3 linked regions of the Styela clava genome follow. The protein of the gene in region 3 purifies or fractionates together with the protein of the main gene of each other region. This does not show direct contact. Links are inferred from orthologs where the notes say so. Each region holds a gene or a part of one and is shown on either strand. Other genes may lie near its edges.

What was found. Proteins that work in one complex are often made in the same cells at the same time.
Region 1: the proteins of lethal(2) giant larvae protein homolog 1-like (region 3) and protein kinase C iota type-like purify together in Drosophila melanogaster (affinity purification with western blotting; 6 studies listed by BioGRID, with this or other methods). This does not show direct contact. The link is inferred for Styela clava from reciprocal best matches to the Drosophila melanogaster genes l(2)gl and aPKC.
Region 2: the proteins of lethal(2) giant larvae protein homolog 1-like (region 3) and partitioning defective 6 homolog beta-like purify together in Drosophila melanogaster (affinity purification with western blotting; 5 studies listed by BioGRID, with this or other methods). This does not show direct contact. The link is inferred for Styela clava from reciprocal best matches to the Drosophila melanogaster genes l(2)gl and par-6.

What each region holds. Positions count from the first base shown.
Region 1 is NC_135257.1:16,668,568-16,676,414, forward strand, and holds the start of protein kinase C iota type-like, read right to left. Parts: upstream 3,080-7,847; 5' UTR 3,002-3,079; coding exon 2,324-3,001; intron 1,701-2,323; coding exon 1,554-1,700; intron 636-1,553; coding exon 458-635; intron 370-457; coding exon 173-369; intron 1-172. UniProt on the Drosophila melanogaster protein: Serine/threonine protein kinase which is required for apico-basal cell polarity in the germ line as well as in epithelial and neural precursor cells, for epithelial planar cell polarity and for cell proliferation.
Region 2 is NC_135250.1:4,770,458-4,778,057, reverse strand, and holds the start of partitioning defective 6 homolog beta-like, read right to left. Parts: upstream 3,080-7,600; 5' UTR 3,004-3,079; coding exon 1,909-3,003; 3' UTR 1-1,908.
Region 3 is NC_135262.1:4,227,913-4,234,995, forward strand, and holds the start of lethal(2) giant larvae protein homolog 1-like, read left to right. Parts: upstream 1-4,055; 5' UTR 4,056-4,159; coding exon 4,160-4,240; intron 4,241-5,070; coding exon 5,071-5,168; intron 5,169-6,167; coding exon 6,168-6,249; intron 6,250-7,083. UniProt on the Drosophila melanogaster protein: Essential for the development of polarized epithelia, for cell polarity associated with asymmetric cell division of neuroblasts during development, and for oocyte polarity formation.

The DNA.
Region 1 (7,847 bases), on a different chromosome or scaffold from region 3:
TTAGTTGACATACCACAAAGTGCCTGTAATTGTAAACATTTTACTAAGCAATATCTGGATTCTGGGGATGCATTATATTATATACGGGCGAAAGAGCTCAGAAATGAAGCATAGACATACATTAGGATTGTAATAACTTTCACTCGCATATTATAGTATGAGAAAATCTGACCTGGAACAAATAATCTTCAGTGTTTTGATCAGGGTTATCTGCCATACCAACAATATCAAATGGACTTCTTCCTGCCATCATTTCAAACATGAGTACTCCAAGTGCCCACCAATCAACCGAGAATGAATAGTCTTCTCCCCGAAGGATCTCGGGAGCAATGTAATTTGGAGTACCACAAAAGGTAGACGTCTTGTCACCTATAAAAAGTATACACTTAAAAATCCTGTTAAACATGATTTGTAGACAAGCAAGAATAAATAGTGAGAGAAATTATCGTAAATGTACCTTTCAAAATTCCTTCTTTACACATGCCATAATCTGTCAGTTTTATGTGACCTTCGCTATCAAGAAGAACATTATCAAGTTTTAGATCTCTATAAATAATGCCTTTTTCGTGCAAGAAATGTAATGCAAGCACTATTTCTGCAGCATAGAAACGAGCATGATCTTCTGGAAGTTTTCTCTGAAATATAAAAATGTTTTATAAACATTCAAGTGAAGCCTATCAGCTATCATTTATAAATGAGTCGCTCGTTTAAATCTTATTTCGAGTTTTGGAAACTTATTCAAATTGCCATCCTGTGTGTTTGAAACCGCATGATTGTTCTTTTCTTGTCATTGTTGTAAACTGCTTGTATGAGAAAGTCTAATTTTAGTCGGACGAATCCTTACAGAAATACATTTGTGTGCACCGGGACTCTTGAATCGCGTATAGCTGGGTGTTTATTTCGAGCAGTGGCAGAATTCAAAATAAATTATCCAGTCTTATCAATTCCATGGCACATAATGCTAGGTTACACCAATCATTAGGAAGCAAAGATATGTTAAATAACTTGCAAAGATACATCCAAGATTAATAAATTGAGTATTTATTTATTATCAGTTAGAAAGAAAGATCTAGTGTGGCTTTAGAACAGATTTCATCTACAGTCTGATAAAAACCATGAAACACCATCAAAAATCAATGTCTTTTAGAACTAAATTCAACTGCATGATGCATAGAAGTAAAAGAAAACAATAACACCACTTTGAACAAACTTAACAATATTGTACTACTTTTGATATATTAAATAAACACGTTAACGAGAATATCAGTCAGAGACCGAAGACTTATCGCTTGAAAGTTAGGGGATCCCCCAAAACAGCGCTCTTACTCCATAGTGACACCTTGTGTCTCATCACTAAATAATTAATTAAACTCGCTAATTATACCACATAATTCATCCAAAATCAATAGGATTCTGGTACGACATATGATGAATGCACATGCAAAATCTGGAGCAGATTCAATCTCGCTTTCATGAGATATCGCGTGCATGTAACAGACAGACAAATACCTATCAACATACTTACCGATTAAAATCGATAAGTAATAACTGACCTGTCTTTGCATGTGAAACATAAGGTCCCCTCCATTCACATATTCGATAACAAAAAATAGGCGATCAGCTGTTTGAAAACATGAATGCAATCCAACAAGAAATGGGTGGTTTGAAGCAGTTTCAAAAACATGTTTTTCAGTTTGTACCTGAAAAAATAGAGAATAAGAAATTTTTCAAAAAATAGGCTTGATAAAAATCACTGGTAAATGAGAATTGAACATCTGAATGTTATAGTAACAGGGCCAATGAGTTGGTTTGAAATGGCTCCAGCTACAGCAACGAAGCCTGATCTTTTTTTACCTCAGAGCTGGGTTACATACAGGACAGCTCGTTTTTTTGATGTGACCATGAACCCTCACCATGAACATCAGCCCAAATGCAGTTTCGCTGCAGTGGGACTCAAAAATTTGTATGGTAGATTAAAATTTGAAATTTCGAATTTTAAACTTCCAATTATACAACTTTAACTGAAAAGTTTCAAAATTATGAAAACAAATATTGAAAAAAATCATAACCAAAAAACATAAAAAAAAGAAGAAAATTAAAAGTATGGAACAAGAATTAGATGGTTGGGAGCTGGAGCTGCTAGAAGTTTTAGTTGTTTGGTGTTGTTAAGGTAAGCTTGGCTCTAGCTCCAACAAAATGTAATGGCTCCATCGCTGGTTAGTCGAATATTCGAAACAGTTAGAAGAGCTGAACCTGGAACCCTACTTAGTTATATCAATAAACACATTAATGAAAATTTGAACATAAAATATTGAACATTTACCCAGTCGACATCTTCTTCATCAGTGACAAGCTCTTTCTTTATAACTTTCATCGCATAAAGTTTTTTACTTTTCTTCAAACTCACAAGAAGTACTTTAGCATAACTTCCTCGACCAATAACTCTCAACATATCAAAATCTCTCAAACCAAAGCCAGACGTTGTCCTCGATGTCGCATGCACTGCCTCACCACCTGTACCAGTGGCAGGATTGTAATGAACCCTTTGAGCCTCCCCCTCTTGAATATGCACAGAACCAGGATCATCAGTAGGATTGGAAATCGGAATTCGTGGACGACGTCCTTTTAATTTCTTCAACCTACGCTTTAGTTTGTACCATCTTCTTGCCCCACGACGATAAATTTTATGTTCGCCCACACATTGAACCCCGGGCTCAGGAGGTATTCCTTGAAATATATGAAGAAACAGAGTATCATCCTCATTTAGCTCATACAGTCTTAATGCTTCATCCAACTCCAGTTGAGATGTTACTGTACACAGATCACCTTCCTCGTCTAACCATTTCAAAGTGAAAAGTTGAGCATCTGAGAATCCACAATTAACTCGGATTTGCACCCATAATTCATCCATTCGTATTTGTGGATCGAGGTTCAGGTTCAAAATTTGATTTTGATACGCTAATTTTGAACGTACCATTAAATGTGAGGTATCAACAGACATGGTCAAGTTTTGAATGTAATTGATATACAATGCTAATTACAATTTTCGGATTTTAAATTCATACTAAAACATAAAATATGAATAATGAACTCTAATAGGATAGCCTACCGGTCTGCCGGTACATTTAAAGCTATCCCGGCTGTCTTCATTGACCATATTGTCATCGAGAATTCATGCGCATAGCCTATTCTCTGTTCAAATATCGGGTTCAGTTCGAAAAATAGCAAGGAATAGACGTTACCGATGCCAGTACAAATAATTCGAATTTAGACTAATTAGTATTGGTTTTACATGCGATACCGTACGTTTTCTAACAATGTTAGGGGGAAACAACGGAACAAACGCATTCACCCTCAGTACAGCAGTAAGTAGGCTAGCTCTGCGCTACACAGAAACAACAGTAACCAGAACATGTTCTTGTATTATGCTGGATGGCTGAACGCCAACTTTTGGCTAATTTGTCGGGACAAGACGCTAAAAAACGGCCTAAAGCGGGACGTATGTGTATATTATATATACGCTTTGGGTAAGCCTACTGACCTGTCTGCCTGTGTACGTTAACGTACCGGTCCAGGAAGAGTTAATTTTGTCCGACCTGATCCAAATTTATCGTGAGAACTGGAGACACAAAAAGCCAGACACGGAGGATTTGTCATAATATATTGATATAGCACTATAGCACTTCCAAGTTCCAGTGGGTGTGGCCTATAACCTACATCTTGCCGACCCCCTCTCTGAGATAGGAATCTCAATGAAATAAACATATATTTCGCATTCCCCTAGCTCCCTCTACCGATACCTCTATTAGCAATTGTTCATAACCAACCCATATATGTTTTCGTTTTGCTGACTTAGACTTTGAAACTACTTAAATTGAACATTCTAGAATCAAAACATGTTAATGCTTATATTAAAAGCTACCGATAGTCACTGGGTCAAAATTAATAAAATAATTTATGGTGTCATTCTGCCCGTACGACACCGCGATTGGTAGCCTTCTCACCGAAACAGAAGCACAAGTATAACAATTAAATATAGATAGGATAGGATTTACATATTTATCCCGGGGGAGAGGTAAGCCGATAAGACGGCTTATCCATATGGCGAACCACGGCCTCTCGTCCGGTTACCATTCAAAGTCGGGTATGGGATTAGTTATATTGCTTGTTTTCGGAAGCATGTACTTGGTGGTGGAGGAAGCCGTAACCGACCAGCGGTTACGTGAACCACCCAACGACGGCGAGGAGTCCAGCAATCCTCTCGCACATAACCATCCTTGCATGGAATTCGAACCTGCGAACCCACGCAGAGTAATTAGAGGTGCGGTGGCGAGCGTATTCCTAACGCTTAGCCCGTTGAGCCACACCGCCGCGCATTACATCACATTAGCATCTGTCTATTTGCACTTGGAACATTTGTAATGTCACTTCGTAACCTTCATGTTTTTCAGACATAGACATTTTCACCCGCGCTCATTCGCACCCATACGGTCGCCGTTTGGACCCAGGGACATATGCTGATATAAGATCTAAATTGCAATGTTATAGAATCAGGATGTCTATCTATCCCTCAAAACAACAATACTTGAGAGTGAAAATGGCCGTGTGCGCAAATGCACACAAGTGCTAATTCATAGATTTGTGACCTTTTTACGACGCTCACTCACGACTTTCGCTCAGACGGCTTCCTCCGCCACCAAGTCCATGAAACTGAAAACAAATAACTAATTCCATACCTGACTTGGAATGGTAACCTGACGAGAGGCCGTCGTTCGCCATATGGTTTAGTCGTCTTAGCGGATTTCCTCTCCCCCGGGATAAATATGTAAATCCTATCCTATCCTACCATGGCCTGTACGTATAATATGATAGTATTTTGAGATATATAGGAAAGTAGAACAGTTTTCCTCTGTGTTAAATGTTAGTATGTCGTACAGAATTCCTTTCAAATATTAGTGATGGTGGGCTACGGTATTTGGATAATGATATAAGATTAAACTTGACGTTTGATATTCAAAATCGCTGCCTAATTGATATTCACTTTGGTCGTTGCCAAATTGACTATAAACATGGATTCCATACCGTCCTTAATCCTTATTTCTAAGGTTTGTCCTTATTTTTGGCTTATTTTTAGCTTGCGTCCCTATTTTTGGCTCGCGTGTCCTTATTTTGTCTTATTTGGACTTTATAAAGGAAGCTTTGTGTTGTTTGTCTTATCGCCAAAGCTTTATTGCGGAATCATAAAAGCAAATAATCATATTTGGAACACAAAGCAGCAAGGCACAGATAGGCATGAAGCATTGTTAGTGTGGCGATCTTTAGGTTTTGTCGTGGTGGTGGATATTTTAGCCTAAATTTAAAAATGAGCAAACGTAAGAACGTTTTTCGTGAATACGGGAAAGAATTCAAAGTTAAACGAAGCTTGAAGAGTGAGTGCTTCGCATACTGTGACGTCTGTATTTGTAACATTAACCTGGAGCCCATAGGAAAGCCAGCTATTTCTGCTCACAATGCAGAAATTTTTCCAGTCGTCCTTATTTTGGGTTCCAGATCGATGGAATCCCTGACTATAAATCAAGTGAGAACATGCATTGGTAACGTTATGAGCGATTGCGCGACGACACATCCGCCATTTTGTGTCCAGAGATTTATCGTTGTATGATCCTAACCTAACCAAGAGATTTAAACCTGCGATCGTTAAACATTTGATTAAAAGAAAACGATGCTCAAAAATTCGGACCAAACTTTCGCAGCGGCGAAACGAATGAACATTTTCCCGAAAAACTAATTTTCCGCAGATGTTTCTCAGATAACTCGGCTCGGGCGATATGGTCAGCAGATACGGAGTTAGGATTAAAGTTATCCAACTTCACTCGATAAATCAACACCCAATAAGACCAAAAATATAAAACAAAGAGATAAACATTTTATTATAAAAAATCCTGATGTAAGTATTGCTACTTGCACAGAACTTATTTTAACAAACTGGCAGAACTACAAACAAATTACACTACAGAAACATGCAACTATTAGTAAGGTAGGCTACATGTCATATTATTAAAATATGCGTATCGCAAATTTTCAACAAGGTGTTTATTGCCCAAATATATTAAAAAAATAAACTACATGCATGGAATGAAGGATAACGGCATATATCAAGGTTACAAGAAAATCTAATAATCTGGAGTGTATAACATAATATATTATTTATTTGACTTGATCTCCTCTTTTGAGTGAATATTTATTTGTCAGAAAAGTAACTGGCGAACATGTATATATATATTATGAAAGGCATTAATATTGGCGCGAAATATAGAATTTCTTTTTTTGGATGGGTTATAGCATAAATGGGTTGTTAAGTAGATGAATGTGATGTTATCATATATTGCTATTTCGTAGATTGTCTCAGAACTTGAAAGTCACCCGTTCACCCTTCAGCTTCAACGCCCACGTGAATGAAGATGCGTTAAAAATCTCTATATGTTTTTATTCGTAAATTTCCACAACACACAGAATATAAATCTTATAACATTTATCCAGACTAGCTTAGAATGGTTTACATCGTCTTCTCTTCTCCCTATCGAAAGATATCGGAGTCGTATTTATACGTTGATCATAAATCCAATTAAATGCTGTAAACGTGAGCTCGTGATTCACGTTATAAACAGAAATTCCTATTATCTCAACAAGGGTAATTAGGTACATCGTACGGATGGGAACTTAGATATAATTATTTCAATCAGTGCCAAAGGTCTTGAGAATATAGATTTTAATTTGATAATGACTGGATGGAACCTGTTATGTTCTTAAACCTGGTGTAATTTGATTCCTACGAAAGTCTTTGTTCGAATTTTGGGAAAAATTAACTTTGTTTTCATATTTTTAACATGAAATGGGGTACATTTGGGGGTTAGTTGCTATATTATCTCCCCATCTTACTAACTGGAAGTTTAAAGATTTGGCACCTCTAATAAATTGAAAATATATAGAAAAATACAATACACAATGCTAAAATTAATGATATATATAGGTCAAAAAAATATTTACATGTATATGATCTACAATGAGACAACACATTGAAGTAAAGAAAAGTTTATAGAAAGGGTAAAGGTTGTAAAGTAGAATTACAGAAGGATGGCGTATTTTTATTTTGAAAATTTTGGTTTGGACGGTTAAAACATATTTTCAATTCAATGTATTTCGCTAAGTTAAAATGCTTATACTCGCTTTATCGCATTGTTACGATTTTGTAGACCTAGTTGGTCAATATATGCTTGTCCCATGTCGGGAAGAAAAAAACGCATTTTTAAGTTTATGCCATCTCAGGGCTTTTTTGAAAAAATAACGCTTTTGGATACAATTTTTGTTTAACGAGCTTATTATTTAACCGTTCTATATGACGGCTTTGTAAATAATTAAAAGTATGACTCGCTCGAATCTACTTTTAGAGAGCATTTTAATAATAACGAAATCTATTTAATCGAAAAAGAATGCTAACCACAAATATTCAATAATATAAATCTCTTTAAAGGTATTTGAAATTAGAATATTCAAAGTTTTACCATTAATTAATTTATAAAAATTGAAAGCCGAATGAAACGCCATGTATATATAAGAAAAAGAAGTACTTTACCTTAGTATTAGTGGAAGAATGAAAAATGTCTGTCTCAATGAGGAGAAAAACCTGCAAATCACGAAACAAATTGTAGATTAACATGTTCCTGATCTGTATATCCATTAGGCATTAGGTATGCGCGACAATTTCTCTATTGTTCGGAATAGAGCGCGTGAATTACCGTAAAACAGTCCATAGAGTTCATTGTTTTCAACAGTTCGTTTTTTGATTA
Region 2 (7,600 bases), on a different chromosome or scaffold from region 3:
TCCTTCTTTTAGTTCTATTACGAGTTTGGGGACTGTCTGTGCTAGCCAAGCGAATATTCCCCCTGCCCATAGGTTTCAGTCCCTGGATGTAAAGTAGGCCAACAAAATTAGTTACCCCCATATTGGTACACATACTTCTGGAATCTGGAGCACCCATTACTTTATAAAAGATGGATGTCATTTAGAAAACTCAATTAAGAGACCTGATCACATGCTTATACAACACACATGTGCAACTATCATGTGAAACTTGCTTATAAAGGTCACACAGAATTATAATAATGTAATACTATTAAATCACTACGCAATCCTATTTACTTAATGCAATTTTCCAATTTGTTTGAAAAATAAAATGCTAATGACTGAGGTAGATAACAAACGGCTAATTAGGTTTGAATTACTTTTTTTTGTAATCACTAATAATGATAAATAATTTTTAGCTAATGTGGAATTATACATTTTACCACTCTCAATAATCTTGCATTAATGATGATTCATGTTGAGGGAGTCAATATTTAGAAATATACTTCAAATTTGACATGAAAGCTTTTTTTCCAAAATATACCGGTACTTGAAATTTGATTATGAAATTTTTTGTCTCAACGCTTAATCTAAATTTTAATCAATTAATCTTTAGCCAAACTATTATTATAATTTCCATGATTAAAATGGAATAAAAGAAGAAAAACCGAATGAAACAACATAACAAAATTATGAAAGGTAATTATAACCAAAAAATTTGATATTTAATTTTGAAGTACAATTTTGACAACAACAGATCTGGATACTCCCATAGTATGTGTACCAGGTTGGGGTTAGGCTATAATTTTATTCCGATTTTTCTTTTATTAGTTCGATTACGAGTTCGGGGACGGTTTGTGTTAGCCAAGTGAATATACCCCTTACCATAAGTTTCAGTCCCTTTACACAACTTGATGTAAAGTAGGCGAACAAAATTAGTTACCTCCATATTGGTACACATACTTCTGGAGCGCCAGATCTGAGCAGCAAATCTAGCATGAGCAGGGGTTGAAATAGAGCTCATAAACCGAGATTTGAGGAACTCCTATTTGCTTAAATTGAGTGATATATTTTGATAATTAAGTAAAATTGGTAGAATAAAATATTGGCCAAAACGTCTATAGAGGAATAACAACACTTTGAATAGATAATTCAGCACCTACAAAACAATATAATAAAGTGGAATTCCATATTTGTCAAGATAATTGAAAAAAAAACTACAAATAATTTAAAGAGAAAAAACGCACTCTTATGGATTTATCAACTGTGGAATGGGAAGCAACAAAGATTTAAAAGAGTCCACACACGACGCTACACGATTGTATCAATTCTTCAAAATCATTTCGTATTGTCCATTATTTACTATTTATTGGGTTTCTGTGGGACCAACTACTCATCTTCCTCCTAATCCTAATGCTGTAGTAAGAGTGAAGACAACTTCAAATTGTAATATTTGGTTGAGGATAATCGCGAATACTCAGTTTATGCAATTATTTTCAAGCTGATAATACATCTTGATGATTTTTTAAGTCAACCTCAAATGTTCAATCACACAACGCATGATACAATCTGCATCCTAATTGCGAGCACACTGGGCTTATAGTTAATAATTTGCTGGGAATGTACCGTGAGAAAAACTATTTTTCAGTGAAATTCGAATTTTTGAAAAAGCCAATCAATTAATTTTTATGATTGATCAAAAATTAGGTTTTTTGTAATTATTCCCACACATATATGTAACCAATAAATTACTGGTATAAGTAAGTGAATCCGTGCTACCTATGGATTATAATCATAATAAACATAATAAAATGGAAAAATTGCAAAAAGCCGTTTTGGCAAAACATTTACCCAAAATAACATGGGATGATACGGCGATGCAAATACCTACAATGTCAGATCATTTTGAGTGTTAATTTGGCTTCTACGTTTAGCCTTTACTGAGTCTCTACCATGTTTGTGCCCAACTCTCGGCGACTTTTTTGGAGACGGTTGCGTAGAATTTGAAGCTTCAGTTTTATTAGGTACAGATTGAGGAGAAGAGTGCTCTTTGCCTTGTTGGGTCGTATTTATTGAATAAATCTTTTCGTTTTGATGTCGTGCACTGTTGCTTTTTGGTTTTTGGTCATGCTTCGATGCAGGAGTGATATCTTTTACAACATCCTGATCATCGTCGGATTCTTCTTCATGCCTATGTCGTGGAATATCGTCGTAAGAACGAGCCCGAGAAGGCGGCTTTATCCCTGCGACTGCATTTCTCATACTTGCAGGCTTGACGGTGATAATCAAATTAGAACTATTCGCCACCATCATGTCTGTGACCTGATCTAACGTTTTCCCCATCACTTCGATGCTGTTTACTTCTAAGACTTCATCATTGACTGCTAATAAACCAGTCATTTCTGCCAGACCACCTTGTACTAATCTAGATATAAAAATTCCAGGCACTTTTTCAAGTCCGTTATTCGTCATACGTAAGCTCACACCGTCGCGGATATAAAACCCTAATGGCTTGTCTGAACCATGCTTATGAAGCCTCACCCGACGTAAGGTTTCTGGTAGAATATCCACATCGATGATTGCGGAAACCGGACGAAAATCTTCTGGATAACTTATAATTGGTGGTAATTTTTTTCCTTTCTTTTTTCTAACAGTTGATTGGCCAAAACCATTTTGTAAGTTAAAAGTCTCTCGTTTGTGAATATACAGTCTTAGCAAAGTATTTGACGTTTTTTTCGCTTTTGCAAAATTTTCATCGTTATTTATTGGCAACAAATCACCATGAAGTGGGTCGGTGTAAGTCACAATAAAATCGACGTGATGAATTTGATGAAGTGATTCGATTCTTTGATGTAAATCTTGAAATTTGTCTTGTTCTGGATCAAGATGAAATCGTCGAAATTCAGCTAGAAATTTGCTTTTTACTTGAATTAAATTCCCAGCTGGAGAAGACCCAGCAGAGCCTAAGGATGATTTATCCATTTCATTAATTATTAGTTTAACTTTGTACACAAAAATGTCACAACATGTTGGTAGATGTCTGAAACACAATTAAACATAAAATTTACCAAGTGAGAACCAGTAGACTGTACACAAGATAAAAAAAAGAGTCCACTTTAATAAAATTTGATGTCATCCTAACCCAGGGAATAACGATTTAACCGTTGACTGAAACTCAATTGGGTATAAACTTGGCCACAACTTAATAAACATACGAAATAATAGTATAATTTGATATCTGAATCAAAGCTACTAATCATAAAATTTAAGTTAGAAGCAGATTAGACAACTGCTTGAATATTGCGAAACAAAAATATGATATAAAAATACAGCCAAATTTTTTTAGTCATTCTCAAAGTCTGTCTCGCCCAGAACGCTATAGACGGTGACCGTACATTTGAACCCATGTACATTTGAACCCATGCGTATATCCACGGGTTCAATCTATATGCGGGTGCTAAAACCCATGGGTTAGGGTTAGTATGGGTTTAACTATCCGTGAAACAAAAAAAATTTCATAGGTGAAATAGCATACAGGTGCAATTGTCATGGGTTCAAATGTACGTGGGTTCAAATGTAATGGAACCCTATAGACTACCCTATTTGGCATGAGTCATAACTGCTCAGTTGAATATTGGGTAGGTTTGATTTCAACTAAACGAATTGCCTTCCGCGCCAAACCAACTTTTTTTAGAAAAACATTACTTCAGTACTTCGTCCTTTTATTAATTAATTCAGTATTTTTACAACTTTTAACGTTGTTATTGAATATGCACATAAATATTGAATGTTATCGTGTTATTGCGTAAAATCCTAAATTATTTTTTATATTTTTTGCTGGCTAAAGACTTAGCGAACATGTTTGGTTATTTTTCTTTTCAAAATTCACAAAAGGTCATTATTATCATGGTTTACAGTCTCAAACTATAACCAGCGTACATCAGCAGCCTATCAGTACAGCACTACAGCAGTATAAAAATCTTGGGTCTCTTGTAGTTTTGTACCTATATCGTTTTTCTAGTGGACGTAGCGTAACTATTTTTTGATATGTCAATCCTAACCCCCATCTGACTACGTCGTCTAAAATTACGTCACCACGACGTCACAATCTTATCATAAAGCTTGCAGAATAGACGTACAATCGCCCGAAATGGCATCAACGCCGCTGATAAAAAGCTGACTAACATCATCATTCTCTCTCATATTGGGATCATGGTCGCGACAAGAAAACGAGAGAAATAGCTGTTCGATTTCGGATGCTCGTCTGCCGTTCTTAGATGACTGTTCGTATAATTCATTAATTTTTGGATGGTGTAGTTGATGGGTTAGGATTGACACGTGCAAAATTTGTTATATTACGCCCATTATAAGTACGTTAGGTACGAAACTAGCTGAGACCCAAAATCTTAATCTCAGACAGAAAGTTGAAATATCTAACTTCGGGTCTGGCGAAATGAACGACATGACTCCTTAAACAGTTAAATAACATCAAAAAATGGGATTGCTTGAAACTTGCTGCTGAAAAACTGCTTGAATAACGTCAAACAGAAATGTGATATGAGATTTTTATGATTTCTAAAAAAAATCTGTCTGGCACAAAATGAAATTTTTGACAGACGTGCTTCGTTAAAATCAAACCCACTCAATTTTCAAATACTGAACTAAGCACAGAACAGCAGAAGCAGGTACCGGTATGTTCCAATGCCAAATTCAGAAATAGGGTTAGCCGCTAGAGACCGACTTTCTGACTTTTGATACCGTTCTGGTATTTGGAATAAAATGAAAATTTGGGCATTATTTTCACATCATACTTTTGTTTGACGTTATTTGGGAGTTACGGTGTGTCCTTCTTCATATACATACCCCTAGTTACCGGTACGGTGTGTTCTTCTTTCAGTCTTTAGATCCCAACTAACAACTTCAACTAACGAAGAGCAAAGAGAGAATTCGAGAGATATTTCCGAACAGTTTTCTCTATATCCTGATATCTGTATATAGACCTATCCCTATCCTTATACAGGGTACATGAAACTAAAAAAATCGCACCAAAAAAGCGGGACCCGAGACGTATTGTTACCCCAAAAATGCAGCCCACTGAGTAAACCCCACCTTTTCGCACATCGCCATCTAGTGAAAATGTGGGTGTGTCATGCTCCGGTGACTAAAGAGTGGTGTATTGAATATCATCTCGAATGTGATGACGAAAAAGAAAGAAAAGCCTATTTTCATGATTATAATGTGATAAGACTGTTCAAAGTATGATGCATTCATACAAAGACTTTGGTAACGGTTGTCTATGCGAAATACCATACCTGCATACGGTGACAATATCGATATCGAATATTTATGATGACGGTTGAGATAAAACTACAACTACTAGTATTGAAAAGAAGAAAAATAGGCACTTTTCATATTTATTCTATCGTGTCCCAGTTTTATTTCAGTTTTGTTCCGAAAAGTAACACCAGCGCTTATTTTCGGTTGATGTCTCATATTTTCAGTTATCAAAAACAAAATTACAACATAGAAAGTTACGAGATTTTCAAATATACAAAATATGAAAACCGAAATACATTTACCCATAAATACCAAGTTTTTATTCGGAATAGCTGCAAACCATATTTTATGAATTATTTAAAACGTGAAGGAGAGATTTAACTGCTATCGACTTATATGCATGATTTTATTTTCGGGGTAGATCTTATTTTCGGGGAAACACGTATATATAAAGGGAGGAAAGTTTATTTTATGGGGAAAATGCCGGGAGTACAACTGAGTCGTTATATCTACTATATTATTAATAAAAGTTCTCGTATTTTGGAACATACTGAAAATTGAAGCTCTGTAGGACGGGCGTCTCTGCGGTTCAGAAATTTGTGAGAAATTCTTCCACGGGAGGGAGATAAATATTCGTTTTCAAAACGAAGAAAATCGCCAACTCGGGTAATTCTAGATTTAAATCACAAAATTCCAAAAACGTTGAAACGCTATATATAACGAATTACCACTGACAATTTGCCGTTTGGAATACCATTGCAGGTGGAATAAATTTCTTTGAATATCAAGTTGTTAGATACATTTTTTTTGAATTAAATACCAGGCCGTCCAGTTATTTCTCTACCATTACCTCCTCACTTGGATGGTCCCCGCACTCGTAATATAACTAAAATTGGAATGAAATTATGGCCTAACCCTAACTTGGTACATATTCTATGTTCCGATGTCCGCCATCTTGGTTCACATACTGGAGCGCCATTTTTTATCACTAATATCAAAATATCTACCTAGATCTCCCCCTAGATTTGGAATCCCTACCCCAACCCCCTAAAATGAAAATCTGGGGGAGCATACTGGTTACGTCGAGTGAGGCTTCACACCACACACCTTTCTGCATTCAGAGTTTTATATCCGCGATGGCGTGGGCGAATGAGTTTACGATACGTTAAATAACAGACTTGAAAAAAGGCTTGGAATTTTTATATCTGGATTCGTACAAGGTGGCCTCGCAGAAATTTGGTACATATGATTTAAATAAATAATATTTAATCATCTTTTGTCCAATCCTCCGCTAAAAAGTAAGATCATGTTCTCTCATTATCTTAATCACGGACAATCGACTCGTAAAAAATGTAAAGTTATTGCACAGGACCTCCTGAAGTATACGCACCAAGATGGCGCACAACCTGAACTCACGACACGGTTATGCGACATCTTGGCGCGCATACTTCAGGAGTACCCAATTATCGCTAGCCGGTGGGAATGGAAATATCCAGTCAAAGGACCATAGAACCTATTATCCTATCATATAGGCGGGTGAATCGTGTTATTATGTGAAGTCGTGATTGCCACGTTTGGCTGTCAATCTAGACACCTGTTGGTCATTATAGCGAGGAAGTTCCATGTAATAGCTTACACCCTCTACTTCTAGCAAGTCTGTGCGGAAACCTGAGAATATGGTCTGTTGCAAAATTTCTAAGGACACAACACGGTAACAGGAAATAAGGATATTCGACAACCGCCATATTTTTCTGTGTACACAAGAGAAGATAACTTTCAATTGCTTCAGCTATCTGTATCCAATATGAACCAAATTCCCAAAATCAATTGTCGCTTTCAATTTGTTTTTCCACGTACCCGAAAGTAAATAAAGGAGGGTGAAATGGATAAATCTATATGAAACTTATGCGTGTTTACTTTAAGTGGTATTTAAAACAACAACTACAGAACACACCAGTCTCCTCTCAATCAAACACAACCAAATACTATATGAAGTAACATTTACACGATAAAAAGTTTATTGCGGTTAAAAATGTTCAACCTTTGAATTCATTACCGCAAATTACTCTGAATAATATAAGTGATTTCATGTTTGTGTTCACAAATCTCTTATTCACAGGCTGCTCGAACTTGATGCTATTCTTCATTAAGCCTTTTTCTCTGCAAGAAAAAAAAATAGTTTTAGTTACAACAGCATATAAAATTTCCTTGCTATGATCAGTTTAGCTTTGACATATGACGAATTAAGCATAAAAGTAAAGCCTTCTTACTCAATTTTATTAGATGTTTTATACTTTCACTA
Region 3 (7,083 bases):
CTAGCTAAAACATTAAAATTGGCTTTTAGTTTGATTGTGTCAGAATCAGGCAGGCCAGATTGAATTGCCCAACGGACCGAATTTGGCCCGCGGGCCGTAGTTTGCCCATGTCAGGTTTAAATCATGTATATATGAAATATGATAGTTTCACATTTGTTAGTAAAATGAAGTCGAAAGTACTAGAATGGAATCGGTTCAATAACAGGATATCGCGGTCATCACTTAGTTCGACTAATATTTTAATGGTTCGTATTTACAGGAAAGAGAGTTCCGGTGTCGGGAGTTTTGAAAGAAAATTCTGGGCAGTAATGTAATCGCAAGTGCAATAGTCTAGCAGGTGTTTCCCGGATTCGAAGGCCTTTTCACTCATGTTACATTAGTTTTTGCACCTCCAGAAGTATGTGCACCAAGATGACGCACAGCCTGAACATGGTATGTGTACCAGGTTAGGGTTCAGGTTGTGCGCCATCTTGGTACACATACTTCGGGAGCGGCCGTTACGCTTAGCCATTGGTGGCCAACAAGTCAAAACTAGGAGCCGCATTTGGTACTTTATTACCGCGAAGAGCCGCTATATAAACAAGAACACACATAAACATCAAATATAGCCTACCTTTATTCGGCTCTGCTAGTTGATTGTAAATGTTACAAACCGACATGCTAATGACAAAAATTTACAAGCCATTTATTGGTATGCATGCTACTTAGTGGGACTTCTGGCATTCCTTTGATTGAACAATGCTCTTTAAATTTGGCTAGTATGTCGCTGTAACCAATCGAAGCAGTTTTTTGACATGGGAGTCAGTCAGAACAGATCAATGCTTTGATTTCACGTCTTTTGAGGTAGAAAACACATATATATCCGTAGACATATGTTGACTCAAACTCTGACATTATCCTTAGCGCAGCTCGTTGGACATAGAGTATTTTTCCATTGACATTGCTTTTGCATAAGCCAATGGTCCCTCCCTTTGAAGCGCTTCATCTGAGACTAGAGGGAATTTTAAACAATCCGTCTCAGAATTAAATGAGCTGTCGACCACGTAATCTGTGACGTTTTATCTTCACTTCAATTACTTCGCTCGAATGGTGGACAGCTCGTTTGTCTAAGTGCAGTTTTGGGAAGTTTTGTGGCGTCTGAAGCTGCCGCAAAACCATGACGTAATTTCCAAACCGCTATGGTCATACCACAGCGACTGACTTTTTGATGATACCGGCGAGATGCCGGTACTTTGCTGCCGTAACCATTGAGATGTATATAACACCTCAATGGCCGTAACCATTGAGGTGTGGCCGTATGGCAGGGCTCTTCTTGATAGTGACAAATATTGGGTAAGCTGGAACATTTTTCTTATGGATACAGTTTTGGTGGATTTGGGGTTAGGTTCCAGGTTTAAGTAGGTAAAATTCTTCATGATAAACTAAAAATATTTTTATCGGAACTGCCGTAAAGTTTTGGGAAATTGTATACTACATTGTATGGGCTTGTAAGAAGGTATTTTTGAGCGTGCTTGAAATACGATAATGCACAAATAATAAATCTCTCTCTCTCTCTCTCTCTCTCTCTCTCTCTATTAGTGAAGTACTTTGATGACCGGCGTCATTTACGTCGTTACGCTTGAGTAATCGTTGCGTGATGAGTACGCAAACCGACGATAGACGCCCGCGCCGCTTCTCGCCGAAGGCTCCTGGCAGAAGTGTATGATGTGTACAACGTTTAGACGTTCACAGAGGGAGTTACGTTCGGTACATAGTAGGCATTTTTTTGGATTATAAGTAACTGATACCATTACTTTGCAATAATAACTATTTGAAATTAATGCCCGAGTCTAGATAAAATCTGAAGACGAACAATTACGGTAACAGAATAATGCTTCGTTCAACGATTTCAGATATTTTACAGATTTTACATTTCCAGATTTATAGGGTACGGTAAAAGATTTGCTTTTATTTAGGGGGAGATAAATTAAAAAAATATCTGAGTGTAGCCAAGTCTGCAGGTAAACAGCGTAGCATTTTAAAATACTGAAATAACCCCAGCAAAAATGGGGTCTCGTGAAATAAACGCAGTACCGTAAGTGCTTAGGTAACGCCAAACAAAATGTGATGTGAAAATACAACCCAAATTTTCATTTTTTTTCTAAAAATAAAAGTCCTTCTTTCGCGAACACAAAACCCCTAAACGCATGGGACAAACGGGAGGCGGACAACTCGAGGGTCTGGTATAGTACAGTACCACATGCACTTCTAGTTGGCCTGGTTCAACAATTTTTGCATATGTCAATCCTGACCCCCACCTGACAACGTCACCGAAAAATTTCGTCATTTCGACGTCACAGTGGCGTTATAAGGCCCACCAAAGTATGCGGACGGTCGTACACAACACGCAGACGATCATCCGAAATCGAGCAAGCTATTTTTCTCGTTTTATCTTCACAACGATCACGATAGGAGTGAGATCGCCGGCTTTAGCGAGTTCGTTATCGGCAGCGCAGATGCCATTTCGGGCGATCGTAATTTATACTTTGGCAAGCCATATGACGTGATGGTGACGTGACGTCTAAGTGACGTAATTTATATGGATGACATAGTCAGGTGGTGGTTAGGAATAACTTATGTAAAATTCGGTATGCTATGCCAACTGGAATTACTTGTGGAGGACGGATGGGTCAAGTTCAAAATGGACGATCCACCTTTGCGCATATTCAACGACGACGTTTTGAGACAAGGTTTTAATTTCGATCTTCTTACATTAAAATTTCACATCACATTATTGTTGGGTGTTATTTGAGCAGTTACGGCGTTCATTTTACATCACATTCTTGTTATACGCATTATTCAAGCAGTTACAAGGTTTACTTCACTGGACCCCAAAATGTGATGTGAAATTTTTGGATTTTTTGTAGTTTTGTACCGGTACCTAAAGTCTTAAAGAATGGTACTGTACAGTACTCTGGTCGAAGTAGCATAACGATTTTTGCACTTAGTGATCCTAACCCTATAAAAATAATTCATCATTTATTTATGTACCACTATTACGAGACGAATAAACATACATACATACAACCCCCACCTGACTATGCCATTTAAAAATTATGTCACTACTGCACTACGACGTCACAATCACGTTATACTGTCATAGAGCTTGCCAAAGTACGGTATACCAACGGCCCCCCGAAATGGCATTTGCCCGACGGTGAAGGACTCACTAACGGCAGCGATCTCGGGTCTTGTAAAGTAAACGCTGTAAATGCTTGAATACCCACAAACACAAATGTGGTGTGGAGATGAATGCTATGACTGTATAAGTGCTTCAATAGCGCCAAACAAAAATGTTTTCCTCCATAATGATAATTTTTACTTGTTTATCTTTGAGCTATATTGAATTTCATTTTCAGAAAACAGATAGATTTGACACCTAATATTACAGTACGGCACACTATACAGATCGGGTGACATTGTCTCGTTTCAGAGAAAGCCATTTTACCAATTGTCAGACACCCATCCTTTGGGAGACGTCTGAACATTGTTGTCCCTCAATATCGGTAAAAATACAGTAAAATGAAGTTGCGGAAAATACTACAAAGAAGCGCAATCTAATAACGTCATCATTAAATTCCTAGAAAAAAAATGATCCGATTTACTGAAGAAAAACAATTTTATCGTGGCATTCGAGAGCAAAAAACGGCAATTTTGGTTATGTGACGGCCGTGATTAATTTAGATTATTATTGAGACAAGCATGGCGCGATATGATGCATCTGACGTGGTGCCAGACGACCCTCGTTTGTGAGACGCATTGAGTGTTTATTTTATTGAACCAAATGGAGGAAAATTATTGGAATTTGGATAGTGTGCCGTACTGTATTATAGAAATATCTCTTGCCTGTTACAACTGTCTGACTGTTATCACTCCAATCTGCCAATACTCACTTTAGAGCAGCAATAAATATTTTGAGAGTTTTTCTGATTGGAATGAAATGTTTTGAATTTTTTTATACTCATTTTGGGTTTCAGTGGTTTTAATGTCAGTTTCATTTGTTAATTCTTCAATTTGAATTTTTTGAAATATTTTCAGACTCTGTTTTGTTCAGTTTTTATCTAAATTAAGTAAGAAAAAGTTATTTATCCAAGTTCATTTCATTTTGTCATTCTTCATCATGTTTAAGAAATGGAAGAAAGGTCATCATCACGATCCACAAAGAGAAAAAATAAAAGATGAGCTGTTTGAATTCAAAAAGGTATCTCTATGCATACTATGTTAGTTTAGGATACACCTGACATAGGCAAATTATGACCTGTGACCCAATTCTGGCTTGTTGGGTAAATAATTCTGGCCTGCCTGATGCTGCCACAACCAAACTAAACTAAATTTTGATATGTAAACTGAAAAGTAGCTCGAGGAATTTGTTGAGATTGCGATTAAATTTAGTTTTTGCACAAGGCCTATTGTTTTCCACTTTTGCTGTTGTAATGCTGTAAATATTGTTCATAAAATGTAACTTTTCATTTCACCAGTCTAGTTGGGCAAAATTTGGCCGTGGATTAAAAACCCTGCTGACTCAAAAATTCAGCTAGAATTGAATTTGAAACCAATGATGTTTCCGGAAAGTTAATAAATTTCATGATTCTGTTAAAATTCGTAAAAGAAATTAAACAGTTTGATTCTTCCAAACTGTTAAGATATAAGTATCCATTTGCTAATATAATGTTGAAATGCTATTCCACTTTTTCAAACATTAAACATTTGATAGCTAAAGAGGTTGAAGAAAGTACTGTTTTCTGTTAAAATTTGGCGATTCAATAATACAGTCATGGTTTATATTAATTAAAAAATATGATGTTATTTCTGAATTAAAATTATTTAATGTACAAATGTTGAATTTTTTTTATCGATGAGCATGTTTTGTATTAAAATTTGTCAGAAGATAGTTTTATTATGTGACTCAAATTAACAGAACCCCTAGAAGCTACCAAAGTAGGATTAAATCAGTGTTCCGTGTCACTATAGCCTTACATTATATTACATTGAGTGATGTTTGATAACCTGTAATTTTGAATTATTTTCCAGACGGCTGAGCATGGATTCCCAAACCAACCTAGTGCTCTGGCATTCGATAGGAAGTTAAAATTAATGGCCATTGGATTGAAAAACGGTTCAATTAAAATGTAAGTTTTTTATTACAAAGATAGACTAGGGGTGGCCAGAACTGAATATTCTATCATTCCTTATCTATTACAAAATTAGGGGCTCCCGAAGCATGCGAACCAAGATGGCGGACATCGGAATGTAATATGTGTACTAGGTTAGGGTTAGGCCATAATTTTAGGTATAAATACTACGAGAGGCTCTTGGCTAGTCTTTGAACTGATAATAGGACTAAAATAAGAGAAATTGGAAAAAAATTATCGCCTAACCCTAACCTGTTACCCATGTTACGTTCCGATGTCCGCCATCTTGGTTCGCATACTTCGGGAGCACCCAAAATTATATACAAGTATGAAACATTCTGTATTTGGCCATGTCCACCAAGTGGCAGATAGAAATCAAATGAATATTCAATGTGTTGTAACTGTTTTTGCAGGAAAGTAATTTGATTACTTGCCTTTTTGCAGTTTTTAGAAATTTAAATTTGACTACTCAAATTTTTGAATACCTGTGTACTTGATTCGTTCTAGACATCACTACCTTCAAACTTATTTTATAAGTTTAGTTTCAAGTGATCACTAAGTGGCTTGGGTGGAGGATTCAACAGCCATATTATTTTACCTGATTTTATCATGAGTCAATTTGGTACTCCCGTAGTATGTGTACAAAGTTAGGGTTAGGCCATAATTTCATGCCGATTTTCCTTATTTTAGTTATAATACAAGTTTGGGGACTGTCTGTGTAAGCCAAGTACCTCCTGTCCATAGGTTTTCAGTCCCTTTACACAACTTGATATAAAGTAGGTGAACGTAATTAGTTACCTCCATATTGGTACACACATAAATTTGGTATTTCGAAATAACATGGACATTTCTACCCTGTATATCCTCTTGTCACATGGTTACATCTGATGAACTGTGATAGCAAAAGAAAAACTCACATTTAGTACGAAAATATTCCTTTGTATTTTGATTTCCAAATTTCTGTATCTATTCAAAATCATATTCTTAACATCTCAGATATGGAGCACCAGGAGTTGAATTTACAGGACTTCATGATGACACCAATCAAGTTGTTCAGTTGCATTTCCTTACAGGAGAGGTAGGTTATGGTTTGAATTTGGTCTATGGTTTCGTATATGTAATGGCCACTTTGAAAAGGCATTGTTAATCACCTGACATTTGGAGACTGAAGTCGAATTTAAAATGTTTCTACTAGCATAATGGTTGTAGCTGAGAAGCCGAAACCTCACTTTTTTATCGAAATTTTTCTTCGAGTTAGGAGATGGAGTTATCAAAATTCTTGAATTTATGTTTAAATTTTATCAAGTTGTGTCTTGGAGCCAGAGTATAGCTCGGGGTCTGGTGTAAATTTTCCTCGATTCCAAAGCCCTTAGTGAGATATGTCAATCAAGTATAGTCATATTCATGGCCATAAGAAAAAACAGAATACTTGAACTATTTGGTTTATCAGTTGGGTTAACTACCTTTCCATGCTTCCTCTGTCCCCAATTTCATTTCTCTCTATTGAAAACTAACTAACCCAGAAATTGCTAACCATTATTTATGTACATTTCATCGCGTTTCTTATCGTAGTTGAATAATGCTTGTCAGAGGAAGTCTGACCTTGGTCAGACGAAACGTTACAGAAATACATTCGTGTTAGTGTGCAGCAAGACTCTTGAATTGGATAATTATACTTTTACCTGTATTGCATTTATACCCTTTTTCTTGTTTTTTGTTATCGCAAATTTCAGTATTTTTGCTGCCCGGTCTAATTGGATTGGATTTCTGCCTATTTTCAATTCCAATTTAATAAAGTCAGTTAATTTAGAATCAGGTATTCAAATCATCGTCTAGCTTAATTTCGTTCTTCTTGTTCATATATGTACAGATTGTACCAATTTCATTGAGGTGGATACTGTCTAATGAACTT